Linked DNA regions of Danio rerio. The protein of the gene in region 2 interacts with the protein of the main gene of each other region in a pairwise test. Links are inferred from orthologs where the notes say so. Each region holds a gene or a part of one and is shown on either strand. Other genes may lie near its edges.

Region 1 (11,509 bases), on a different chromosome or scaffold from region 2:
TGTCTATATAGTTAATTATTTTATATAGGTATTTTTAGTTTTAGTTATTAATTTAAATACTAAACTACTATATTTCAACAAACTAAACAAAAACAAATTATAAATGACAGACAGAACATTAGTTTGAAATTAAAAATAACCCTAGTGTATACAGCAGAAACTAAATTAGCTCATTTATACTCACATGACATCTCTTATGTATTGAATAGAGCTGTTTAAGATACAGCATATGCATAAATGTGCAAAAGAAATTGTTCATTACTTTGAAAAATGAGCAGAATGATGATGAGGACAAGCAGTCCTACAGGTCATGTTTGAGAAAAAAAAAAAAAAAACATTGGAAATGGGTTGAACATGAGCAAGCCTATGCTGTCAGTGATATGTCGTCTCGGTCCCAAGAGGGACAAGAATAAGTTGTGCAATTTGGTGAAGCGCAGACGGTCACTGTATCCCTCGGGAGGAATAAGCACTGTTCAGAGGACAGTCTTCGAATCTGACAGCCATTCCCACAGGACATTATAGAATACTTATGGACTTAAACGCAGGCAGAGACAACCGCACGAACCTTTTCTCTCGGAATTATTACCACACTCATCACTCTAATTCTCCCCTGGGCACGTTCTGTACCAGATCAGTACAAGATGCTTGTGCCATCCTGTGGTGTATCAGCATCAGTCATTTGTGAGGGGCATATGACACAGCTGCAGAGCAGGAGGATCAAGGACCTTGTCTGCAGCGCCTTCATAAATTCCGATCTTTCGTCTTTTATTCACAGCCCTCGGCCACTGCATGCCTGATGGAACAGCAGCGGCTCGCGGTGTCTTAGCTGCCAACCCTGACACTCAGACATCATCAGTCAAAGCAGCCTAGAGCTGCTGCCGACCACTCCTGAGACCACGCTGAAAAATTCACAAGCTGGAGCAACATCTATTACGCTGCATTTGCAGATGTATGAAGCTGTGGAAAACATTCGGTTAAAAGTGATAGATTGCAAACCACATTCCTAGTATATATTCCTATCAGATCCTATTTAGGAATGTTTATTGTATAATAAAAGGGATAGTTTACATATTAAATTGATGTCATCATTTGCACACTATTTATTTGTTCCAAACCAGTAAAAAAATAAAAATAAAATAAAAAAAAATTATATATATATATATATATATATATATATATATATATATATATATATATATATATATATATATATACACATATATATATACACATATATATATATATATATATATATATATTTTTTTTTTTTTTTTTTTTTTTTTCTTTCTTTCAAGTCAACACAAAAAAAGATATATTAAATAACGTTGACAACTAATAACCATTAATTCCCATAGTATTTGTTTTTCTAGTTACACTTTACAATAAGGCTGTATTAATTAATGTTAGTTGATGTATTTACTAACGCGAACAAAAAACAAACAATGCATTAATTACGATATTTAATCCCATTTTTAAGGTTAGTTAAAGGAAATAAAGTTAATGTAGTGTAATGAAATTTTTATTTAATGGCATGTCAGCAACAAAAGCTATTTTCATGGCAAGAAAATCTCAATAATTAATAAACAATAAAAACCAGCAAACACATAAATACATAAATTAAATACGATTTTTAGCGTTAATACATGATAAAAAGTCTAAAATTGATCCAGGTGTCACTTTGTTAAAAATGTCCTTAAGAAAGTTAATTTCATAAAAAAGCCTTATCATTAAAGTAGGACAGTGCAATAAAATGTGTTTTACAGTAAGGGGATTTGTGCAATTATTCATTGTTAGTTCATATTAACTCACAGTGCTTTCATGTTAACAAGCATGGATTTGGATGTAAATACACATTATACGTTAATAATGCATTAGGAAATGCTGAACTATGATTAATAAATGCTGCACAAGTACTCTTCATTATTAGTTTATGTTAGTAAGAACATTAACTAATGAAACCTTATTGTAAAGTGTGACCATTTTTCTCACTATGGAAGCCAATGGTTACATGTTTCAAACATTCTTCCATATATCTTGTTTTGTGCTAAAAAAAAAAGAAGACGAAAAAAAAAAACCTCAAAAGTGGTATGGAACAAATCAAGTAATGTGATTAAATGATGACAATTTTCATTTTTGGATAATCTATTCATTATTGCAAGTAAAATGTTGTATATTGTTTTAATAATGTATGTTGTAAAAATATTTTGTAGATAAATATATTGTATACTATATAAATATATTGTATAATTTAAAATAATGCATATTGTATTGTTTTTTGGAGTATGTTGTTGTATTTTGCATTGTCTGTATTTTAGAGCCAGCACCTAAGCTTTTCACTCATCATAGTACGTGTGTGGCTGATGATGTGACAATAAAAGTGATTTGATTTGAAATAGGAGTTAAATGTATTAATTAAAAGATTCTAAATTAAAATAATATAGATTACATTTCTAAAGGTTGTGGCTGTTAAAAGACACTTAAAAGCTTTTTTCCAGGTTTAAAACTACACTGTTTGTGTCTGTTACAATGGTCACTGTGTCAGATTATGCATGTTTGATTATTAAGATTATTGTCCCTTCATAGACAAGAAATTAGTCTAAAAAGTGTATTATTGGAGCACAAAACTATATTTTATTTTACCCCTTTGATTAACCTGTTTCATTTTCTCATTGCTTGAGTGATGACTCATGGCAGTTTCAGAAAAACTTGCATAGAAAACAGAGTGAGGTGGTATTTTGACTTAAAATAAAATGCTGTGTTGTGTAGACTTTGTTATAGCTTTGCTCAATGTTTTGTTATTCTACTGGCTATAAAGGACAAGAGCATAATTTTCTACTGATTTTGAGTACAAACGGTATGAATGAATACTCTTAAATATTCTTACAAATATAACAACCTTTTCACAAGTTCATATTCAGCTTTTTATTGGATTTTGCATTCTGTTACGTGATCATTTACTTTTCAAAGGCAGGTTAGCAAGATGAATATGTGTTTTTATTTATATCAATTCACTTTAAAAGTTCTGCTGAAAATATTGAGTTTTTACCTACAGATCTTACAATGCTTTTGTTTCAATCGTCTATACCGGGTAATGCTAAATACAGTAGTCTACATTAAAAGTGGGCCAAATGAATATTTCAATACTGTCCTAAGTCAAGAGTGGATATTGTCCAGTAGTTTTAGGGCAACTTTGATACTTTTTATTTTTTAATTTTAAATGTTGACTACTGTTGACATATTAATAAAAATACAATGATCATAATGCAAGCCATGCACATTGTTTGCATTTTAAACGCTTAATTATATTTTATATCATCAATTCAAGTTTAGCTTAAGAATATTTTTTAGGGCCAATGGAACCACACAAATATGCAAACAGGAATAATTTAGTAGTATATATATATGATACCTATATAATACTTAGCCCAACTAAAACACAGTAGAGTTACACATGTCTAACCTGCTGATCCCTGCTGACGGTATGGTCCTCCTTGAGGTTGTCCATAACCTCCGTATGGACCCCCTGGAGCTTGACCCCCTCCGTATGGTGCTCTTGGACCAGGTTGACCATAAGATCCATATGGAGACCCTCCTCCATACTGTTGCCCTGGAGGGGCACTGCCATAAGGTGAACCATACTGTCCAGCAGCAGGACCACCTGCATATGGTGCCCTTGGAGGCTGCTGCCACTGGGGAGCATTACCCCCTGGTCCCGAATAACCCTTTGGAAACAAGTAAAGAAAAGCATACGATATTAACTAGCTGAAATGAAATGCTTGTCATTGGGGTAAAGTGGGTTTTATATTCGCACATTCGTTCATTTTTGACCAATGACAATTTGTGACATGCTACTTTGAATATTGGGTCCTAAATTACAAACAAGAACGTCTTCAAAACAACATAAGCACTATTTAATTGACTGAACATTGTGTACTTTGATAATGATTGGCTGCTAATATGATTTCCCTTATTTTGAATTTCCAAAAAATAATTTTCTGAAATGATATTTGGTACCACATTTGCGAATATAAAACCAACTTTACCTCAAAACTGTTGTCAGTTGTGGTCTATAACAAATACAAATGCAATATCAAAGAATAATTAATAATAAAAATATTTCAAATGTTAATATTATGCTATTGTATTGAGGTTAAATTGGTTTTATATTTACATATTCTGACTTTGGTGTTCAATAAAATACTAAAGCAGAATGTAAAAAGGCTAATACTGATTAATTATAACGGCATACTTTTTTGAGCACAACTTGTGACACTGTCCCTAAACTGTTTACCACGCTACATTGAATATTGGGTTTTAAATTACAAGCAAGAATGTATTCAAAACAACATAAGCACTATTTAATTGACTGAACAGTGTTGTACTTTGATAGAAATTGGCTGCAAGTATGATTTCCCTATTAAGAATTTCCAAAGAATAATTTTCTGAAATTATATTTGGTACCACATTTGCGAATATAAAACAATTTTGCCTCAATGCTGGCAGTTATATAATTGTATTAAAGTTAAGTTAGTTTTATATTCACACATTCAGACTTTGGTGTTCAATAAAATACAAGAGAAGGATTTAAAATGCCTAATACAGGTTAATTGTAATGACATACATTAATGTTTCACACTAACTTCTGACAGAGACATGGTCCCTAAATAGTTTACCATTCTACGTTGAATATTGGGTCTGTAATCACACATAAGAATGGCTTCAAATCAATATAATCACTATTTAACTGACTGAACAATGTTGTACTTTGATAGTTATTGGGTGCTAATGTGATTTCCCTATTTTGAATTAGCAAAGAATACTTTTCTGAAATTATGTTAAGAAAGTGAAAGTGAATGTGCGAATGTAAAACCAACTTTACCTCAATTATAATTGTCAGTACAGCAGTAAACAGAAACAGATATTGATATTCCAATTCCGAGGAATAACACGAGAGCACATATTTACATATTTAATCCATTCACGTCACTGCATTTTTTCCATACAATGAAGGTGACTGTCTAGCATCCTCTCTTGTGTTTTGCGGATGAAAAGTGGCAACATTAATACACGAAGTTATACTGGTACACTCACGTTGTTATACTGTGATTATAGACCCTGGAATACATGTGAAATACGGTTTACTGACGGATGAGGGGAAAGAACACCACGGCTAGATTCAAGAGAGACATTTCTATTGTTAATCTTGGTCATATGACATTAACTAAAAAGATGCGTATGTTCACTAACGTTAAAACTACTGAAAGGCACGCGATTAACTGATTTGTTCAAACAAAAACCAAGGCATTGTACTTGTCATCACATTGTACATCACAGTAGCAACAGGGCTAACTGATTAGCCTAAAAGCCTGTTTCTACAAATATTTACGCGATTGTGCGAGTAATTAAGCATAATTTCACTATACATTAAGTTCAGATTCTAAGACACAAACCAGACACCCACATAAACATAAAACACACATATATTAATGTCAAATAGTTAAACCCGGAAGACAAACTTTACCTGTCCGTATTGATAACTCATTCCGCGAAAAATCTTTAGCAAATGGAGCGACTGGGGTTTATTTAACAAGACCCGCCTCTTAACGCTGATTGGTGCGTTTTCACGTTTGTCAACGGAAAAGCCTCATATTTCAATCTGATTGGTTAAAGCAATGGAAAATTGCTCATAGCTTACACTGTGAGTCACGCTATGTACGTAAAGACACGTTTTGTTGTAGTTACCATGTTTATAAAGGAGGATAGATATAATATGTAAGGTAAGAGTTAACATTTTTTATGGAACTTGAAATGAAAGTTCATCAAATAAGGTTTTTACACAGAGCCCTGTGACTAAAGATTTGTCCTGACTTGACTTGACATTGTCATTAGATGATAAGATCTAACCTTATTTTGACGATCCGTTTGTTGAATTTAAGTTACATTGCATCTACATGCAAACTAATTCTTATTAGATTATAAGTAGACTGTTACTATTAGTAGGGGTTAGGTTTGGGGTTAGTGTAAGTTGACATGTACTTGCAAAGTTTCTTATAGTCAGTTAAACGTCTGTTGAAGGAGATATTAAGCAGACAGCACTAATACTCAAATGGACCATCAAAATAAAGTGTTACCAAATTAAATTCTATAATAATCATCATCATCGCATTAAGTAGTTTATTAAATAGCATTAATAATATTCAAATCTAATGAGTCGTGTTCAAAATATACCCTGCCACATTTGGTATATTTCACAGCATGATTCCTGTAAACAATATGAATACACAGTGCACTAACTTACACAGACTATTACATTATATAGTACAAACACAGCTATTTTAGAAAATAAGGAAGGCATTAATGTGTCCACAGTTAATACAGTACCTTTTTCAAGGGTTTAAGTGCTGTATGCTATCAGTGTTTTGTGAACAATCCTACACTTGGATAAGTACACTAGGTGGCAGTGTACATCTTAAATGAGTAAATGAGACACAAGATGACCTTCCAATTTCATCACAATTATAACATACTGTATACAAAAAAGACATATATTAGTTACTTTAAAGTGCAAATATCCCATTTAGTGTATGCATTAATCATATTATCTACATTATTATTCAAGTTCATTGTGTCTACTATTATAATTCATTACAAAGTCAGCGTTCATATAATTTGTTCAACTCGGAATGGATCATCTCAGAATTTTTTAGTTCTTCTGCAGCCTGTGCCATTTTAAGATTGTTGAGATTCTGGTTGGACATGGCCGTCGGATCCACCCTTCTGCTTATGTAGTTTCTATTCTCCTCACTCTTTTTGTGCAGAAATTTGCCAGCTTTCTTTGTAATCAGATACACCATCTCACAGATACACATGAAGATGCACACAGAGGAGGAGACCACCATAAAAAGAGTGAAGATTTTCTTCTCTGTGGGACGGGAGATATAGCAGTCCACTGTATTTGGACAAGGTTCCGCAGTGCATTTGGTAACATTTGGCATGTCGAATTTATAAAGGTAGTACAAAATATACAAGAATGCTGCATCAAAGCCGGCTTTGAATAACAGGCTGAGGATATAGGTGTACCACAGGCCTCCACGCTTTCTTCCTGGGTTTGCATACATGTTTTCACCATTGCGGGCAGTGTTGTACTTCACATTCTTCATTTGTCGATATTTGACGTGAGCGACCACCATGAGAGATGGACAAGTGACGAAAATAAGCTGGAGAGCCCATAGACGGATGTGGGATATGGGGAAGAACTGGTCGTAGCAGACATTGGTGCAGCCTGGCTGGGCCGTGTTGCAGATGAAGTCTTTCTGTTCGTCGTTCCAGACTTGCTGGACAGACACCACAAACACCAGGATTCGGAAGATGAACACCACGGAGAGATAGACACGGCCAAACACAGTGGAGTATTGGCTAACCCCGCCAAGCAGGACTTCTAGGGACAACCAGTTCATGTCTGATGCTGCAAACAAGCGTCTTACTCATTCCAGGATATTAGCCCTACAAAATAAATACATAAACAAGCAAATTTGTTTTTATTTACATTAAAATAGTACTTGCTTTTTTTCTCTTTTAGTACATTTAGAGTTCCTTTGCCTTCTTCATCTAATAGGTCAACTTAAGGCTTCAATATACTTCAAGCTCAAATTGTAAACAAAGTCAGGCTAACATGAAGATAGTGCTGGGATTTTAAAACTGCTGTAGTTTTAGTTAAATGTTGATCTAAACATTAAACATCTTAGCAGCATGAATGACATCAAGATCACAACAATATTTATTAAAACAGTTTGATACTTTCAAAATTATTTTTATCCCTAAATGAAAAGGAAATATGAGTATATTTGGTCATACAGGTATATTTATTCATAATAACATGCTGAATCTATTTTATGAATAAAATATACTGTAGATGATTTTTGAAAACAATAATAATTTAATAATACTGTTGAATTAATATCCATATTTTTTTCATTATGAGCATTGCAATGTTCCTTTTTTTTAAGACCCGTGTTATTTAAAATGATTTAAACCTTTACAATTTTAGTAATACTTTTATTTATAAATATTTATTTAATGTATATTGGACAAGATTTTTAACCTAGCTGTACTGTACATAATACTTTTTAATATTTTTATTTATTTATTTACTTAATTCACACACAGACACACACATGTAATCAGGTTTTATTCATACTTTTAAAAAGTACACCTTTTGTATTTATTTATGCATTAAATATTTATATATTTATTTATTTTGTCATTTTTAATACTATTATGACCCATACTGTCCCGAAATCAACTTTCTGAAATCTAAATACTTTCAGTTTCACATTGAGTATTCTATTGTTCTCAACAGAATGGCCTTTGAGCAACACTGTTGTTCTGCTTTTCAATGATTAATTCAACTCTCAACTCAACTCAATTTATTTTTAGAGCAATTTCAACCAACCACAATGGGTACCAAAGTGCTGTACATAAAAACACACAATACATGCAAACATGCAAGAAGCCAAAATACACTTATTACTCACAACACATGATTAAAAGCTAAAGAAAACAAGTGTTTTCCGTAACCTCTGAATTCAATCAGTTTTTTTCCTTTCTTTAATTTTTAAAGACAATTTGTTCCCCAAAAAATTAAAGAAGAAAAAAATTGAGGAAAGATATTGATGGTGTCACCTTTCAAGCATGTAATGTCAACAGGTTGCAACATGCAGTTAAATTATTTCTAAAGGCAGCAATGATCCATTTTTGGCGGCTTTCGTTTGATTCTTTCCCCCTTTTGTTCACAAAGCAATCAACACATTTGAACGAAAACAAGTCAACATATGTAGTTAAGGATAGTATTGTTAATTTTTATTGTTTACCAATTTAGATCTGCATATCTTTTACCATAGTATTAAATGTGTTCTTGTTAGTTTTCAGTAGAAATAGCATTTGCATTGACAACTAACTAGGTCACATAATTAGTATGCTGTAACCTGTCATTAGTTTGACACAAACCGTAATTAAAAGTACAAGAAGCTAACTATTAGTGTTATTTAGATTTTAGATTTGTGAATCCAAAGCATAACAATGGGCTCTAATTTAGCTTTATGAGAAACTGTACAAAATGCCCCAATCAAATTAGCATATCCAATTATGTTTGTTAACGGTCAAAATAATACTGTACATACTGAAACAATACAGTATCTACAGTGCTAGCTGATTTGTATATAAACTATTTTTATAAACTTTATTTTGAAGAAATCCAAGCGATATGTCCTTACCTTTTGGGATTTCGGCTGTTGTGAGGAAGAGCAATAGCTTTTCCTTTGGCTGACAATCAAGAAAGACCTGATTGGTGGAAAGTGTCTGATTCTATCTATGACAATCACCTGAGTTTAGATGAAATGAAATCTAATGAATCAAAACAAAAATAAAACTGTCTAACTTCTGCTTCCACTCAGCTGTGGGGTATTTACTATGGTAATCAGTTTTTTTATAACGCCCATTGCCAGGGGCATTACATAAAGGTTGTTTAAAGCTAAGCAAACCTTCATGGGATGGCAATTCTTTGTTTATATACTGTAGGTGCTGTAGGTGTGTGTGTGTTTATATGGGTGTGTGTGTGTGTGTTTTGCTGACTACTGTACTGCACTGTATGAGGAGTGCTAGCATTAAAAAAACATTGTTTTATATACAAAGACATAATCTTATATTGCGGTGAGAACTAAATTCTTGTAAAGCTACAGTATATATTCTTATCAATCTTTTATAACTGAAAATTTGACATCCCATTTTTAACGAATCATGAAGACAGTTTTTTATTCTTTTTTATGTTGTCACATAAAATACTGTAGTTTAAAGATAATAAGCAGGATAATATTAAAAGTTTTAAAAGTTTTAAAAGTTCAAAATGTTCAAAGCAATTGCAGTCAAACTGAAAGTGTCTGTACAATATTTATAAACCAGGCTAAAAACAACATTCCATGAATGGGTGGAATATTTTATGTATGTGCCATTTAAAAAAAAAAACAAAACAAAAAAAACGATACAACATCCTGGTTAAGACTGTAACCCACGTTCCCCGAGGGAGGGAATGGAGACGTTGTGTCCTTAAAAGAACTGATCGAGAATCGCCAATAACCAATCTCTCTGAAGAGTAAAGCCGCGGAAACACTGCACTTTTCGCCCCATAGACTTCCATCCATATGCAAGCAAATGCAACAAACTGGAAACAAAAGCTCATACATTTCACGGTTTGCTGCATTGCAAAGTTCAAGCTCGGTGAACTTTAACCTGCAAAATTGCATCACGTGACTGCATGAGACCAATCGAAGATTAAAACAGGACCTCTCTGTACAGAAAATTTTAATTTTCAGTTCATCTTTATTTGTTTAGCGCTTTTACAAATTTAGATTGTGTCAAAGCAGCTTTACATTAAAGATTATACTGAATTGAAACTGTGTCAGTTCAGTTTTCAGAGTTTAAATTCAATTCAGTTTAGTTCAGTTCAGGTGAGTGTGGTTTAATATTTACTGAGAGTCCAACCGCTGAAGAGTAATCTATTGATGCGCAGCTCTACAAGTCCTGAACCATACAAACCAGAGACAAGAGCAGTGAGAAAAAAAAACTTCACCAATTGGCGAAAGTGAAGGATATGGACCAATCGCTCATTTTTTAGGGCCCTATCATACACCCAGCGCAATGCGGCGCAACGCAATTGTTGTTTGCTAGTTTTAGCTCGGCGCAATAGTCATTTTAGACGTTTTGCAACACGCTGTTTTAATAGCAAATGCATTTGCGCTCATATGTGCGCCCATAGGCGTTCTGGTTTAAAAAAGGAGGCGTGTTGCTATTTCGGAAGTCCAGCGCAGAGCGCGTTAGTTGTGCGCCTCGCTTAAATATTGCTTAATACACACTGAATGTACAGCAATACGCAAATATCTTTAAAAATTAAAAATAATTAAAGGAATAAAGTATTACAAAAATTATTATTTTCTAGCCTACTTAAATATTAAATCCACCACCTCCATGCCTTCTTCACCTCGCGGGGCTTTTTTAGTTTATTCATGACAATTTGCTTTTGTATAATGTTATTTTTAGTAGTAGTATCATTTATTATATGCATATTTATATTTGTTTTATTAAAAACAAGCTTAGATTTGCCCACCTGTCAGCATGTGTATTTGGAAAACACTTCGTTATTATTGTTTATTTATTCGCTTGCTGGAAATTAGAACTGAATTTAGAAATAGTTTTGAAAAAAAATCTTTGCGCTTATTAAACAAAATGAATTATGTATTGGCTAATGGATGTCTCTGTGTATAACACATTTCCCTATCCACGAGAACGAAAGTGAAAGCAAAGAATGAGGAGGCTCATCTCTCATTCTAGCACTGTAGGTGTTCTGTTTAACTGTTTTCTTTCTAGTGAAGCATTTAGTTTTTCTACTTATAAAGTCCGCCATGTAAATAGCAAATGCGCTATGGCGCGACACAACTGACTCTGAAAGGGAATGGAA
Region 2 (9,263 bases):
CTTGAATGAAGTCTGGCAAGGAAAAACAAAGTGGTAGAGTGAGTGGAGGACGATCCAAAATCTAGAAAGAAGTAATAAAAATATATATATTACTAACACATTTTAAGAAATAGATACTTGTATTAAACAAGGGTGCATAAAACTGATCAGAAGAGAGTTAAGATTTCTGATTCAAATACTTTTCAATATAAACTTCCTATTCATCAATGAATCCTGAAATAACAAAACATGATAAAAATAAGAAATTGTGCTTGATCAGCAGCAAATTATGAATACAATATTACATTTTGGACTGGAGCACTGACGCTGTAAATTCAGCTTTGAGAAAAGCAATGTAAAACATTTTTAAAACCACTCACTTATGTTTGGATGTCAAAACTTTAAAATAACTGCAATCAAGACATGTATTAGTTGCATGATAATGTAGGGATTTCTTATAAAAAAATGCACATTAATCTATTTAACAGTTAATTATAGTCTTACCTGTGTTTCCTCCAGCTCAGTGATTAGCTCCCTTCATCTTGGCTCTTCTCTTCTGTTGTAGGGGTAATTTTGTCACTTCTGAAACCACAGAGCACTTTTTAAAATTGATATTAGTTTACATTACTGTGAAATATCAAAGTAACACATATGTACTAACTTTAACATTTTAATTCGCTCTTGTCGACAGTACAGTGCTTATTTTAGGCTAAATAAAGTAAACTACCTCCAATAAAACATTGTGAAACCTCTCATCTACACATAAAATGTAATTAAAAGCCAACACTTTTATAAACAATAGCTAGCCTAATGCTAACGTTACCTCTGCTAAGACTCTAACGGACTTTTTTAAGACACACCAGTCTCTATAAAAAACACGTTCAACAGAAATATGTCAATTACCAGTAAGAAAAGTGTCAGAAACAGTTGTATGTAACATTTGCGTGATTTTAGCGACTAAACTTACCTGAAATTAGTGAAAACTGCCGCATGAGAGAAGTGCTGTTGACGGTCAGGTGTCGTGTCGTTGCTCCGTTTCCATGACAACGCTCTCTGCTGCAGTGCTTGAATGGGGCTCGGTAATGGACACTTTAAAGTCACGCAGCATTTACATAAACATTTAAACAATTCATAAACATATTAAATAATGACATTTTATATTAAATCTTGATTATTAAACTCAATTTTGTTTTGTTTTAATAATAACCTGTTATATTTAAAACCTCTTTTAGTTTTATATACTAAACTTTGCTTTTATTAATAACTATATTTTTATTCAGTGCCTTATTCGTTTTAAATGTAAAAAGTGTTAAACAAAAGTACTTATATCAGGTACAGAACAGCCTACAACATTAAAAACATCACCGGGTGGGCCATCGGTTTGCCAATGGTGTCCCGACGGCGGTCCACCCACGGTAATCCGCTGGCGGCGTGCCACCCAAAAAACGCCGGTGGGCCGACATAACTTTTAGAATGGGCGGCTTGCCGCCGGTGAGCTGACGGCGGTCCGCTCGTATCAAGCCGCTGAATTTGTGCCGACCAAAAAACGCCAACGGTCCGCCAACTCATTGTTTGCTGGGATCTTTCTAGTCACGTGACCGAATTAATATTAATAACCCAGGCAGGCATTACGCCAGATGTTACATTACATCCGCTTTCCACAGAATGGCCGTCGAGGACCTAATTAATATTCATGAGACAATCCCCCACATCCTGCTCAGTGCTCGGTGATGCTGAGGATGCGCAGAAAGAGATGCTGCTGTCAAATCAATGCGTGCGGAGGGGCGGAGAGATCCTTTACTGCCTATCTTGTGCGCATGATCAACATATTATTGCCTTTCATTGATAAAAAGCCTTTGTGTTAACATTTCCTCATCTTGGGTACTCGCTGGCGCTTTCGGATACGTTTTATCAAGATATACGGTAGGTTATATTGCCGATTTAAAGGCGCATTGCATGAAAAGTAGTTGTCGATGTGTACAGTGTCACGTCTTTTAATTACGTCTCTTGAACGGTGAGTTTAGTTTATCCCTCATCCGGAAACCGGCAGGCAAGATGTACCTATGTTTTTGAGTTGTCCAGAAAAAGGCATTATTGTGTTTCACTTTCGATGCTTATATATGAAAACGCAAAATTGGTCAACTTAGCTTATAGACTGCTACAGCTTTGTCTATACGCGGATATACTGGATTTAAAGATAAGGTAATTTAGATTTAGTAAATTTGTAATATTTGTTTCATTGTGGTAAAGGTCTGGTGAGAATTTTCTCCAATTAAAACATTAATTTAGATTTTTATAATTTTCCCTAAGTTAAAACATTGGTATTGTGTTGTCTGTTTGTCTGTCTATCTGTATTGAATCTTGAATCTGTTTGTCTATGAAATTCTCTATCTATCTATCTATCTATCTATCTATCTATCTATCTATCTATCTATCTATCTATCTATCTATCTATCTATCTATCTATCTATCTATCTATCTATATATATATATATATATATATATATATATATATATATATATATATATATATATATATATATACTGCTCAAGAAAATAAAGGGAACATTGTGTTGTTGAAGTGTTCCCTATTTTTTTTTTTTTTTTTGAGCAGTGTAAATACAATTACAATCATTTTCAAATGGTCACTCATTTTCTCAATAGCTGTAGTATCAATATCCAGTCTTTATCTTTCTGACTAATAAGACAAAGATAAATCATTAAGGTAATTATTTTTTTCATATTCACACTTTCACTCACTTTTGAACAGTGACAACTTGCGACACAGTCCTTATATTTACCACTTTACTTTGAATATTTGCATGTAAAGTACGACTTCAAACAACCTTAGCACTATTGAACTGACTCTGAACATGTTGCTCTTTGATAGCCATTGGCTGCTAATATGATTTCCCAATTTAGATTTTGCAAAGATTACTTTTCTGAAATTATAATATTAGGAAAAAAGTCCAAATGTGCAAAAATAAAATCAACTTTACATCAATTGTTAAATCTATCTATTTTTCTGCATATACTTGCATGGTGTTCCAGTCATCTGGATATTGGCAATGGCATCTCGTGCAGGGCCAAGAGCTGCAGGGACTGATGGCGGTGATTTCAAACACAGAGAGAAAGTGGCTTCTCATTATCAAATGAGGTAACTATATCATCAAACTATCCCTGCAATCTAACATGACCAATAACATTACCAATCTATCATCATCACCAATCCTGTCTTTCAGTGCTTCATCAAAATCTGAGATAAAGAAGCTCACCGTAGTGCATTTCCTCATATGGATACTGGTGGCAGCTCAAGTGGCTGTTAGTCACCTCAATTTGGTGTCTCATGACCTGGTGGCCATGCCCTATCAGTGGGAGTATCCATATCTTCTGAGTCTCGTGCCCTCGTTTATTGGAGCGCTGGCCATGCCGAAAAACAACATCAGCTACCTGGTGATCTCCATGATAAGTGCTGGATTGTTCTCTGTGGCACCCTTGATTTTTGGTGCGATGGAAATGTTTCCTCTGGCCCAGCAGCTGTACCGACATGGAAAAGCCTACAGGTTTATCTTCGGCTTCTCGGCTGTTTCTGTGATGTATCTACTCATGGTGATTGCAATTCAAGTGCATGCATGGCAGATCTACTACAGCAAGAAGCTTCTAGATGCCTGGTTCAACTCAACACTAGAGAAGAAGAAGAAATAAAAACATTTCTGAAATCATTCACCGCTATTTATGTCTCAGTTGCTACTGTATAATGCATGGAGTCATTTATAATGTTTTATAATAAAAAGCTGATCAGTTACATCTGAAATTTTCTTCTAAAAATAGACTTTCTCCAAGAAATCCTTGTGTAGGTTCAGTCATTTCATTTCTTGTCATTGCATTGTAAGTGAAATAACTGAACATACTGTACACACAGAATCTTGAGAAAATGTTGAATTTTAGGATAAGATGTAAGATGACACTTAGAGATTTTTGCATATACTCTTCATATATAACTGTAAGCCAGTTCATTTGATGTATTTTACATGTATTGTCGTATATTTCGTATATATGTTCACTTTGCAATATAAATGTTTTAAGATTTAATTTAAAACAAAACATTTTGTTACATTGCAAGTTGTTACCTCCGATTCAGAAGGTTTGCAGTCTACAGTGTGTTTATACAGAGCCATACAATTCATATGTTACACTTTATAAATAATAATAAAAAAATACTTTAGATATTTAATTGCAGTGAATTCATTCATTTTCTTTTTAGCTTAGTCCCTTTTTTCATCAGGGGTCGCCACAGCGGAATCAACCACCAACTTATCTAGCATATGTTTTATGTTTTCATCTCCCAGCAACAACCCATCACTGGGAAGCACAGTGTAGTTAATATTAAGTATTTCATTTAATTTCTTGATGTTTCTAATTTAACAGAGTGTCAGGCTTCTCTGTGTAGTTTTAGCGCTCATTATCTGCAGAAATGTATTTTTCCTTTATTATTATCATAGTAAACAGCTTGAATGTGATTCTTTTTTTGAATGCAGGTTCAACATCCAGAGGAAAGAGTTTTGAAAATTTCACTGGTTTCATGTTTTTTTTTTTTTTTTTTTAACTTGTTTAAAATGTCTAGTGGAAAAGCGGTTGGCAGTCATTATAAAGATCAAGGAAAACAGGCCTGATATTAAAGTTTTTACTTGTCCAAATATAATTTGTAATGCAAACTGAACTGATAATTTTACAAAGCCTAATATATTATTATTAACTGAATAAGAGCCTATTATTTTGGCATACTGGGAGTGAAATAGCCATAGTCAAATGTACTACATTCACAACAATTAATTATGTGGCTTTATAAGACAGATTCAAACTGGGGCCTGGGTCTATTCAGGGCACGGCAAAATATTCATTCATTCATTATTTTCTTTTTGGCTTAGTCCCTTTATTAATCTGGGGTCACCACAGCAGAATGAACCACCAACTTATCCAGCACTTGTTTTACACAGCAGATGCCCTTCCAGCCGCAACCCCTCTCTGGGAAACATCCATATACTCATTCACACTCATACACTACGGACAATTTAGCCTACCTAGAGAACTCCACACAGAAACTCCAACTGGACCAGCCGAGGCTTGAGCCAGCGACCTTCTTGCTGTGAGGCGACAGCAATAATACAATTTAAGTTATATACACACACACACACACACACACAATTTATATATTTAAATTTATTAAAAAACACATATAAAATAATAATAATTTAAAATAATAATTTACTTAGAAAGATGTTCAAATAAAAATAGTATTCTGATGATAAGAAAATAATTATTAGAATGTAATATGCAAGTATGGGCCTGATAAGATTCTGTTGGTATCATAACCTTAGATAAAAATATCTTAATTAAAAAAAAATAATCTTTTATATACCATAGGAAAAGTATAACAAAGAAGTTATAAAAATTCAGTAGTAAAATAAAATCCATTCAGGATACAGACCACCTTATCGGTAGTAATTAAATTTACAAAACAAGTGAGCAGTGTCTGGATAGCGCGCATGCGCGTTTGTGGTTTTGCCACGTACAGGTCGCTGTGAGGCGTTTCCGATCAGTCAGTCAGGCATCGTTCAGCTGAAGTCCAGGACACACAGGCTACTGCTGGGATTGACACGTCCAAAACACCAGGTACAGGCGCAGGCTTTTCGTATAAACATTTACATATTCTTATACAACAACTTTAGAGGTTTTTTGGGCACCTCTGGAAATGAACCCTTAGTATTTAGCCGGTTGTCAAGCAAACTAGCATTAGCTTAGCTTAGCCTGTGTGAAACTAGGGCAAGCTAAAAACAAGAAAGACGTTTTGTTCAGCGTTTTAAACCACAGTATGGCGTAGTTAAATAGTCGTACTCAAACCACGGAAATAGTAGCTGTTACAATATATTGAGATTTATTTTTTCTTTTGACGCCGGGAGAATTGTTACCCTCAGACCTTTATTTGGCAGGAAGTTGCTGCATCATCAGGTGAATGAGGCCTGATGGGATGTTTTAAATGGATCACGCTTTGGCAAGACTTTTAAACGTCACCCAGCTGCGATGATGGAAAATGGCCCGATGTGGGAAATTATCAACAAAAAAAAACCAACAAAAAAACTCATGCTTTAATAACCTGATTGAAATTACTAAAATGGCTAAAGTGACGCTGTTATTTTCATCTGTGTCTGCCCTGTTTAACGTGTCCACCCATGAGAAACTCCCCATATCCATGACAAAATCGTACAAAATGTTATAACAGCTAATGCCACATCTTTAAGACATGTAATCCTGAATAAATCAGCCTTTGAACAGTTTGCCAAGCAGCCAGTTGTATGGCATTTTTCCTAATCCAGCAGGCAGAATGAGTTTCAGTCAGTAGTTATCACTGAATACCATGTGAGTTAAATACAGGTCTGTCCACATGCTGCTGTGAACATTGCTAGTTTGAATAAATCAGAGAGTAAGATCAAAGTAAGAAAGTCGAGACTGTCCTGATAAGATTGCTTCAGTTGATCAAATCATTTAAAATGAAATCTAAAACCTGAAATGTTTTACCGTTTTTTTCTTAGGCCAAAGTCTGTGTTAGGAAAGATTCATGGTCCTCAACATGTGCCAAATCATCTTCTATCTCGTGACCCTTAGACTTTTAGGAAGTTGTAGTATGTCCCAGTAAACTAATATATCTGTACAGTAGCACTTGTTCAGATAAAACCTAATATTTGAGTCATATGGCTGTGGGTTTTGGAGTACGACAATGTTTTTATATACATAACAAAAGCTTGAGAGTCGGTGGTGAGTGCAGACACTCATTGGGTTACGGCTCTCGGATTTTATGGTGAACTGTTGTGTTGCGAGTGGAAATGTGTGGTTCTGTTAGAGGAACATAATGAGTGTGTTGTCGGTTTTATGAGTTTGTGCATGAAGACCTTTAATTCAGTGCTGCAGCTCTGATGGTGTGTTTGGTCTCAGCTTGGTGATGTACTATCAGATGACGTCTGATGTGCATGTGATGCATTATATATTGATAAATGACCTCTTTTTTTTAATAAACTGGATAATTGTACGAGTGATAGTATATGACCTGGCATAAAATTTTTTAGATCTTTCTCACAAGCACTGTGCGATGTCTGACAGACCGCACTAATGTCTTTCTTTTATTTTTCATTCTATTAAAACCTGTTTTAATGCATTTTAATCTGTTTTATTTGTTTTAAATCATTTTTATTTTTTGTTTTTATTTTCTTATACTTGTCTCTCTTATTCCTGTTTATGTATAGTACTTTGAATTACCATTGTGTATGAAATGGGCTATACAAATAAATTGCCTTGCCTTACTCTGGTACAGCCTTGTCAATAGAGTAAGCAAATAGTAAACCATTTTTGTTGTTGTTTGTGTATCATTTTGAGCCATATTTAAGTGTTTTGTTGAGTTAAATTTAAGCAGTTTAGTATGCAGTAGTGTATGTCTCATTTGCTACTGTATTGCTTTGGATAAACCATACTGTTTTAACAAGAATAGCATATTTGACAACATATTACTATAATTTGTTCGATCAAATCTGATGGCAACCTTGTCAAATAGTGGCTTAACATTTTAAAACCTTTATTTTTTGCATCTCTAATATTTTTTTTTACTAATAGATTAAGGTTTTTGTTTAATTTCACAAATTTTCTTTCTCATTTATTATTGTATTCAATTAAATTATATTAAATACTGTGCTTTTTAGCTATCAGAACCGAATTGATGAATCACGCATATTTTTCCCCTATGTAGTATTTACAGTACAGTTTTATTTTCAGCAGTATGAATGGACAGCTGGACCTGAGTGGGAAGCTGATCATCAAAGCTCAGCTGGGTGATGATATTCGCCGTATTCCTATCCACAATGAAGACATCACCTACGACGAGCTCCTGCTGATGATGCAGAGAGTTTTTCGTGGCCAGTTACAGAGCAGCGATGAAGTCACCATCAAATACAAGGACGAAGGTCAGATTTAGGCTTCAGAAAGTTACAACTTAACTTTTTTAGTAATTTCACACTATTCAAATAGTTACTCGGTTTTTTTAATAGCAATGAAGCAAAAAACATATAGGAGCTATACACATATCGAAATCCCTCAGTAGTATCACTGTCTAGATGTCCACCTGCAAATAACGATTTCATTCTCTGCTACCTTTTTCATCATTCATCTTTGTCTTTTTTTCTTCCAGATGACGACCTTATCACCATCTTTGACAGTTCTGATTTGTCTTTTGCGATCCAGTGCAGTAGAATATTGAAGCTCACTCTTTTTGGTAAGAAACCAGCAATGCTTGGGGATTTTTGCATATCTTAATATATTGGATTATATAAAAACGTTTGCAGTAATACACTTACAGTGGAATATATGGGCATATGATGGAATTGCATACCAGCCGTGTTTTGAACATAAAAAAAATAAATGTGGTTGTTTTCATTAGGTATTGCCTTGAAACAGCATGTGAAGAATGTGATGTAACTGTTTACACATACAGAATACAAGCAAAAACACACCAAGGGTGCACATCCAGTAGACAAAAAGCTAAAAGAAATCAAAATAGGTACACCACAGCTCCAAAAATAGCGAAATATTTATAATTTTCTCACAACAGGTAACATTGTGACACTCTTTATAATATATACAGAATTCAAACACCCAGTTGTTTCACATAACCAGAAGTTAATTGGGGTAAAATGTAATTCCAACATAAAAAAACAATCTAGAAAAGCTTTACAGGTCATCATTGTTTTTGTGCTTTTTAATCTTAAATGTGTCGCTTGTATTTTTTTGTTTAACCTTTCTATGAAGTCTTTGATTGTAGCTTTATTTATTATTGTAAATGTGTTATTTATTTCTACAATCTAAGGCTTATTTTCTGTTGTAAATGACAACAGGCCACTGATACAGGCTCAACAACAACAGATCTCATTAATATTAATCATTCTCAGAGTTAAGGTCAGTGAGCATGTGTAGGTTTTTCTTACCTGCAGTGAGATCAGATTCCAAAAACGCTCCAGTGTCATGCTGTCTCTTGAAAGAATAATCAAAATGGCGTACTGCACTATAAGGACAACATTAATATGCAGCTCACATTGTTTTTAATACTCTTTAGAAGAACTTTATGAGAATAGAATAAAACCAGAATATTAAATTTAAAGCTTGTATCTTTGTGACCCAAAAAACACAGAGTTTTATACTGAGCAGTAACCTTTGGGTTAAAATGGACTCTCTGTTAAGCACAT

Evidence for each region.
Region 1: the proteins of tfg (region 2) and pef1 interact in binary tests that used the Homo sapiens proteins (3 or more experiments, as listed by UniProt). The two-hybrid records come from large-scale screens. The link is inferred for Danio rerio from reciprocal best matches to the Homo sapiens genes TFG and PEF1.

What each region holds. Positions count from the first base shown.
Region 1 is NC_133194.1:39,704,701-39,716,209, reverse strand, and holds the start of pef1 (peflin), read right to left. Parts: upstream 5,562-11,509; 5' UTR 5,543-5,561; coding exon 5,522-5,542; intron 3,723-5,521; coding exon 3,461-3,722; intron 1-3,460. Other genes in the region: gjb9b (gap junction protein beta 9b), read right to left, coding at 6,654-7,457. UniProt on the Homo sapiens protein: Calcium-binding protein that acts as an adapter that bridges unrelated proteins or stabilizes weak protein-protein complexes in response to calcium.
Region 2 is NC_133184.1:31,781,375-31,790,637, forward strand, and holds the start of tfg (protein TFG), read left to right. Parts: upstream 1-5,521; 5' UTR 5,522-5,652; intron 5,653-7,800; 5' UTR 7,801-7,804; coding exon 7,805-7,988; intron 7,989-8,212; coding exon 8,213-8,296; intron 8,297-9,263. Other genes in the region: jagn1a (protein jagunal homolog 1-A), read left to right, coding at 3,048-3,136, 3,222-3,684. UniProt on the Homo sapiens protein: Plays a role in the normal dynamic function of the endoplasmic reticulum (ER) and its associated microtubules. Required for secretory cargo traffic from the endoplasmic reticulum to the Golgi apparatus.